Daphnia pulex: one gene and its partner. The protein of the gene in region 2 purifies or fractionates together with the protein of the main gene of each other region. This does not show direct contact. Links are inferred from orthologs where the notes say so. Each region holds a gene or a part of one and is shown on either strand. Other genes may lie near its edges.

The links.
Region 1: the proteins of metaxin-2-like (region 2) and MICOS complex subunit MIC60-like purify together in Homo sapiens (co-immunoprecipitation; 5 studies listed by BioGRID and IntAct, counting the BioPlex papers as one, with this or other methods). This does not show direct contact. The link is inferred for Daphnia pulex from reciprocal best matches to the Homo sapiens genes MTX2 and IMMT.

The regions. Positions count from the first base shown.
Region 1 is NC_060018.1:5,994,787-5,998,851, forward strand, and holds the start of MICOS complex subunit MIC60-like, read left to right. Parts: upstream 1-1,265; 5' UTR 1,266-1,393; coding exon 1,394-1,497; intron 1,498-1,561; coding exon 1,562-1,753; intron 1,754-1,813; coding exon 1,814-1,875; intron 1,876-1,933; coding exon 1,934-2,094; intron 2,095-2,154; coding exon 2,155-2,217; intron 2,218-2,290; coding exon 2,291-2,432; intron 2,433-2,491; coding exon 2,492-2,750; intron 2,751-2,808; coding exon 2,809-2,908; intron 2,909-2,971; coding exon 2,972-3,115; intron 3,116-3,192; coding exon 3,193-3,324; intron 3,325-3,393; coding exon 3,394-3,867; intron 3,868-3,934; coding exon 3,935-4,030; intron 4,031-4,065. Other genes in the region: peptidyl-prolyl cis-trans isomerase NIMA-interacting 4-like, read left to right, coding at 100-127, 267-349, 410-529, 604-762. UniProt on the Homo sapiens protein: Component of the MICOS complex, a large protein complex of the mitochondrial inner membrane that plays crucial roles in the maintenance of crista junctions, inner membrane architecture, and formation of contact sites to the outer membrane.
Region 2 is NC_060026.1:12,796,497-12,799,730, forward strand, and holds metaxin-2-like, read right to left. Parts: upstream 1,878-3,234; 5' UTR 1,764-1,877; coding exon 1,718-1,763; intron 1,656-1,717; coding exon 1,528-1,655; intron 1,469-1,527; coding exon 1,352-1,468; intron 1,298-1,351; coding exon 1,205-1,297; intron 1,133-1,204; coding exon 968-1,132; intron 910-967; coding exon 833-909; intron 770-832; coding exon 577-769; 3' UTR 501-576; downstream 1-500. Other genes in the region: transcription initiation factor TFIID subunit 4-like, read right to left, coding at 1-332. UniProt on the Homo sapiens protein: Involved in transport of proteins into the mitochondrion.

The DNA of each region.
Region 1 (4,065 bases), on a different chromosome or scaffold from region 2:
AAAAGCGCGTTTGTAATTGTTCTAAAATCTTGACTCTTGACTTTTGATTTTTTTTTTTCATAAAAAGATTAGAATTTTGAATTGGGAATTATAATAGCTATGCCACCTAAAAAAGCAGCAGCTGCTGGTACATATAGTTTGATTAGTTTCCTTGTGAAATAGTTGTGTTTTTTAAATATTTGTTTACACCTAAAAGGATATGTCAGAATTCAGAAGTTTCTACTACTGTGAAAATAAGCGTTTATAAAGTTTCATTGACTATTTAGGAAAGTCGAAAGGTGCTGGAGGAGGAGGAGGAGATGATGACAAGGGTAAAGACAAAAAAGGAGGAACTGGGAGTACGATTAAGGTAAAATAAGATATATTTCAATAAAATAAGATTATGTTTTTAAATATTATTCTTGCATAGGTTAGACACATTTTGTGTGAAAAGCAATCAAAAATTCTAGAAGCACTTGAAAAGCTTAAAGCTGGTATGAAATTCAATGAAGTTGCTGCAACATACAGTGAGGATAAAGCAAGATCAGGAGTAAGTGTTAATCAATGTGTTAATCAAGTATTATGCTAATTGCTTATTACATTTTTTATTGTATATTAAAATAGGGGGACCTTGGATGGATGGTTAGAGGATCTATGGTTGGCCCTTTTCAAGAAGCTGCCTTTGCTCTACCAATTTCATCATTGGGTAATCCTGTCTACACAGATCCACCTGTTAAAACTAAATTTGGGTACCACATTATAATGGTAGAAGGGAAAAAATAAAAAAAATAAAAACAACATATTGTTACATGAATTAAAATTGCATTTTTCATGGTTTCTTCTAAATTCACTTTTACTATAAGTCAAAAAGCTAATTGAATTTCTTTTATGAATTAAACATTCATAAACATCCAAGATTATCCAAATTGGATCATCCAATGCAGGGTTAAATGTGATAGGCCTACATATCAGATGTAGATCATTCTGACTGGCATCTATATTGATTATACAAATTGTGAACAAATTTAAATAACAAATATGTTGAAATCTTTGGAAAATAGCAAAATATTCTTTCGAATTACATGAACAACATATGCTGGTGGTTGATTTTGCTCTAAATCTAAAATCTTTCACTTTCAAGTTATACAATAAACAAATTAGGAATTTATTTTCTAATGTTAGCCGAGCTCTGGATTAAAAGGAATGAGTTAATTTTCGAAACATTTTCCAAGAAAATTTGGGATTTGGCACAAAATGTGTTCACGTTATCTGATGGATGCTGTTTAACAAGAACTACTACTTGAGTCATATTTGTCGTCTGTTGTCCCTTAATTACTCCGAGACTACAACAGTGGCAGGAATATTTTCTTCCATCATTTGAAGATCCAAGGAAAAGTTAGATCATTTTTCAGGAATGTGGAAGGCACCAGTTAGAATTTGTTCTCAGTCGAAGGTATCATTGCAAAACGGAAGACAAATTATCCGCCGGAACATAAACAGCCGAAAATCAAATCAAATGTAACCGGTGTATTTTTTTCGTAAGTTGTTTTTATACCAGATGCTGTAATAATTTCATTTGTAGATCTGGAAGCAAAATTTTAACCATTGGTGGAGCTGCTATTCTAGCAACTGTTGGTGGTTCTGTTGTCTTAGCCAAAACAAGTGATGGTTTTAGGAAATTTTCTGAAAAAAATATTCCTGGAACCTCATTTCTGTTCAATTTACTACTGGGACCTTCAGTTTCCCATTTACCAAAACTTGAGCATCCTGTCAAGTATAATCAGTTTTGTTTCTAGACTTTTATTGATTATTTATTTAAACTTATTTGCTTCAGAGTAAAGGAAGATGGACTTTTAAAGAAAAAATTGGAACGAGAAGCACTCAAGAAAAAAGATGGTAGATAAACATTTGAATTATTTTCTTGTACATTTGGAGCAATTTTTTTCTCTCCTAGATGAGCTGCCCATCAATCCTGTGGAAGAATCAAGCCCACAAGAGCTACCCATATCCTCAATCGATTTACCACCCCCAGACTTCGATGTCATAAAATCTGTGGAAGAATTTTGTGACAATGATCAATCAAGTGTTGAAGAATCTTTAAATTTAGACCCAGAAGTAAACTGTTTTTTATTTTATTTGCTTATACCTTATGTTTGACTTCCAAATTGCATTCAGGTAAAAACAGATGAAAATATTAAAGTAGTAAATGAATCTGAACCTGATAGTTCAGCTGTAGAGGTGAGAAACTTTCAGATTTGTACATCAAAACTTCAAAAAACAAAAATCTTTAGTTATTTTTCCTATAATTTAGGTTCTCGAAAAAGTTGCAGTTAATTTATCAGAATTAACTCCCGCCGAATTTGGGGACTTGCTTAAGGAATTTCATGCCAAAGCTTCTGACGCTGTTAAAGAAGCTGTTGCAGCCCAAGATATGGCTGCATGCTCCATCAAAAGTAACCGTCTCCTAAATAATCAGACTAACAATTATTTTATATTATTTTATCTTTTGTAGAGCATGTTGAATTGGTCTTCAAGTCACTAGAAAAGATTTACGAGCCTGGTCAAACACATGAAAATATTTGGGAGCCGGTCTTCATGGCGACACACGATAAAAATGAAGCTGTGCATGTTGCCGAGTCTCGAGCTCATGATGCCAGAATGGCCGTAGCTCAGCTGAAAGAAGCTGTAGCTCATGGCTTAAAGAATGACCAAAGTATACAAACACCTGACCTAATTACTTTTGACGAAAGCGTTGCCCGTGCTCTCTATAGGTACGTATTTGTGAATGTTGCTTCAAAACCTCCAGTGGCTATAATGTTTGGTATTTAGTTTGGAAACTGCAAAAGCACGAGTTGAAGCGGCTCAGTCTGAAGCCAAAGTTATGGATGAATATCGTGAACTTGTTGATACTGCTAGGCACAACTTGCAGGTAACAAATTGAATATTTATCAAAAATTTATAACTTCAACGTCTTTGGTTTGCATTATTCAAGATGGAGTTATCTTCCATTCGTCCTGAATTGGCACCCAGTTTTAAAACCGAAGGTTCCAAGTTGGGTGAAGAGGAAATCAATATTTTGATGGCCCATGCCTATTGGAAGATAATAACGTTGCAAAAAGAACTAGCCAGGCAACAGGTTAGTTTAAATGTTTTTTTTTTTTTGTTTTTTGTTTTTTTACAAAAATTTACAGCAATTAAAATTTGTATATCTAGTCTTGTGAGCAGCAGCGCCTGAAAGGAGCTTTAGATACCCAGAGAAAAGAAGACCATTCGGTTCTGGAATCCCGTTTACGAGTCGAATTGGAAAGACAATACTACGAACTAAAAGCGAAATATAATCAAGATGTGAGTTATACCGCCCATTATTGTTTAAACAAATCATTCCATTAATGTGTGTGTCGATTTCTTTAACAGATTTCGTTTCATGAAAAAACCTTGTCGGATCAGTTTACTCAGCAGCTTAAACTCCAAGCTGCTGCTTATACTGATCACTTAAATGACACTCTAAAGACGCAACGTCTAGAACTAAAGCGAACATTTGATGCTGAACGTGAACTAGAAGTCGCAAAGTTGTTGGCGTCCCATCATGAAAACCTGGCGAAGCTTCACGGAATGGGCAAAGGAATTCAAGACGCGATCCATGACCGCGCCGAAAAGGACCGAGTTTCTCGTCAAGTTCGTGAGCTATGGATTGCAGCTCAATCGATGATCGAGTCCCTGCGCAGTAACAATTCAGTCCATTTGCCATGGAATGAGCAACGCCACCCTCTCAATCTGAGTAGTTTGAACAAAGCACTAAACAACAATGATGAATTTGCTCTGGCAGTCATCGAATCCATCCCACCAACCGCTCTAGATCAAGGAATCCTTCCCCAAGGTGCTCTGAAGGTAACGCCCTGAAATATTTTCTTGTTGAAGTATTTTTTACGTTTAAATTTTACTCTTTTTTTTTCAGGAACGTTTCTTGAATGTTGAAAGAGTTTGTCGACGTGTAGCTCTGATTGATGAGAATGGTGGATCGATCCTTCGTTATGCGCTCTCTTATTTGCAGGTTGATTTTTGTTTTTTTGTTTTTTCCTTTCATAC
Region 2 (3,234 bases):
GGAACTGATGCTGCTGGCGCGCAAGTTGTTGTTGCGTGCAGGCTACTGCCGTTTCCCGCGAATGTTGCCGTTGTGGTGGCAGCGGACGGGGTATTGGCAGGCTGCAGCGGTGGAGGAACCGACGAGGTAGAGCTTGTCGTAAAAGCCAAGCCGCCGCCTTGTGTGTTATTACTAGCACCAACATTTGCATTACTCAACTGGCTCTCAAGTGATCCAACTAACGCGGAGACAGCGTCGGCATCCGCTGACGGGTTCGAGATTAAATCGTCCAGGAAGCTAGACGCCATTTTCTGCTCCGAACCCGGTTCCCAAACTGACTGTAAGCAGCTCATTTCCCAACCTCTGCCCTAGCGGCAAAACGTTGAAACGTGTCACTCCTCCCCTAGCATAGTCAAACCACCTAGTGTTCATTTTTCAAACCCTTTACTATATTTTTTTGAATTTTCTACTCTTGTATTTAATAACCGCGTGTGTGCTTACTCTAAAGGATATCATATCAATGAAATATAATAGCGTGTAAATCTCAGAAGTATGGGGCTATTATAAACTTTACAACTTTTCCTATACTATTTGAACTTAGTCAAAATTATCGCTGTCATCGTCCGTTGTCTTGGCGGTTGGTTTCTGGAAGTAAGTCTTCTCAAGGAACTGGCAAGCCTCGACCAGATTCGGGTAGGATCGCACAATGGATGCTAATCTATTGTCGGGCAACGGTGTGGTCAGCAAAGTAAACACATGGCCAAAGACAACCGCATCTAATTCCGTGCATCTAATGACGAGGAACAAAGTCAGCACTTATTTTATTAGAAACCCATTTTAAAAAATTTAATACCTATCATTAAAGAAATAAAGGTGGTTTCCTAATCGCTCACTTAGCGCATTACAGCAATGATCAACATCTTCATATACCTGCAGGAAAATAATAAATAATTTTCTAATGCAAAAACTATTAGACCAAACAAATCACCTCATCAAGTGTTTTGGTAATCCAGCCAAGAGCAGTTAATTTCTTAGTTACTTGTTTCTGTTTTCTCCAGGTTAGCAGAGTGTTCAAAGGCCAAGAATAGACAGAGCCATAACGAGGACCAGTTACTTCATTCAAAACAGTTTCATCACACCAGCTGATATATAACTAAGTAGGAACAAACACTGCTCATCAATCACATAACACACAAAAGTAGTTACAAATATAATAATATAATACCTCTGCATTTCCCAATATATTGTTTGCTAAAGACATGTAAGCTCTCATGTCTGCTTTTTGAGCAGCATCCAAGTGATCTGTAAGATTTATACCCTACAAAAAAAAACACGTCATAAAATGGGATTGTAGAGAAAATATTGAAAATACCTTGTTGCTCACAAAACTGACAACAGGGTCAAGATCAGCTACTACAAAGGCACCACATTTTATGAAAGGCAATTTTCCGGATGGTGACATATGCTCAGCATTGCTTCTCATTTCCACCTAAGAAAAGAAATAAATCAATAACTTAAGATTTCCTTAGTTTTAGTTTTCCAATTTACCTGAAATTCTAAACCACACATTCGCAGAAAAACTTGGACAGCCAAAGAATTGGCTTGATCTTGCAATAGAATTTGTTCAACTTCATAGGGCTGATAAAGTTTGACGTCAGAAGGCCAAGGTTCCAAAGCTATTAGGTTTTTTTAAAAGTGAGAAATAAATGTGAAAATATAAAATATCCAAAATGATTACCTCCAAGCTCTAATGAAATAGAGTCTGTTAGTAAAACTGATGGCATTATCGTAATGAATTAAACTTTTATCGGCTAAAATAAGAAAATCACAACATCAATACGGAATTATTTTTAGATCGGCTGCTGCGGTTTTTATTCAGAGTTGCCAAATTACGCAAAAATGATGAACCCAAAATAAATTTCAAAATTGGATTTTTCTAATAAGCTTAATTTACTGACCAACTAGTAACTAGATATTTAAGAATTGTAGTAAAAATTTGTCATTGAAATAATTATTGCATCATAAATCATAATTATATTTGTAATCAAACGTATTCAAAATTCAAAATGTTTTGCTGTGAAAATACAGGTTGATAGAGAATGTATTAATTAATAAATATTTCTACCAATTTGTTTTTTATATTAAATATAGTTAAATGTTCACCTGTAACGTAACTTTCTGCTTTTCAACGCCCTTCTAAATGCATTTCTACGAAATGTACTTGCCACATCGTACCGCGAAATGCGAATGTCGCTAGAACACGTCGTCGTGCTCCACATAATAATCAGTTCCCTTTTTGCAAGCGTAAATTTCCCTCTAGGACCGACCTGTTTTTGTGTGTTTTGAAATCTGTTTTTAATTTACTGCTCCTGATTTTTACCTTTAAAAAACTTGATTTCTGACCCAAGTTCTATTATTTGTCGAAGTGCGCGTTATTTTCTCGTGATGGTAATTGATACCAATTGATGCTAAAAAAAACCGTAACAATTCAGTATCTTGTTTCCAGGATGCCGAAAGTGGTCGCAACATCAAGTTATTCACAAGTTTTTCATTGACCGCTTTTTTGTAGTGAAATTTCAAGCTATATTTAGCCTTCGAATAAGGCAAACTATTCGGGGATTTATTATTAATGATATGCGAAACGTTTTCCGGGAGCTCTGCCGACTTTTTCCACGAGACAATGACGAAGATCTTCGTTGAGGGTCCATTTCGAGACTTTTTCATTTGTTTGTTGTATTAGAAATTCAAGGAATCGCGTTGTTTGGTGCTATCTGACGTCCTTGTGTCAACAGACCTTGTCATCGCCGTCCCATCGTAGCCCAGACAGACCAAACCTTTTTCGGAGAAGAGTCGTAGACTTTTGACATTTCAATATTTATCATTCGGGAAAATATTTTTCATCCGACTGCATTTATTATGCACGTAATGCGCTTTCGAGCAATAAAAAACGCAACGGGACTCGGCCAACTCTCTCAATTGAATTGACTGACAATGTCACCAAATTATTTTCCAACCATGTAGGCAAGGCTCCCAACGCAAGATGGCGCTGAGCGACTTCTCATAACAAATGCAGACAGCGCCACGTTGTCACACGTCAACAAGAAACGCCAGATGAAAATTATATAACACAGTAGAAATCGACTACCAAACATTTGTTTTAGTTTATTCAAGAAATTCTCGACTTTCAAAATACAAACCAGCTCATTGAAGAAATTATCTCGATCCGGAATCTTTATGAATGACTCAGAAGTTGTT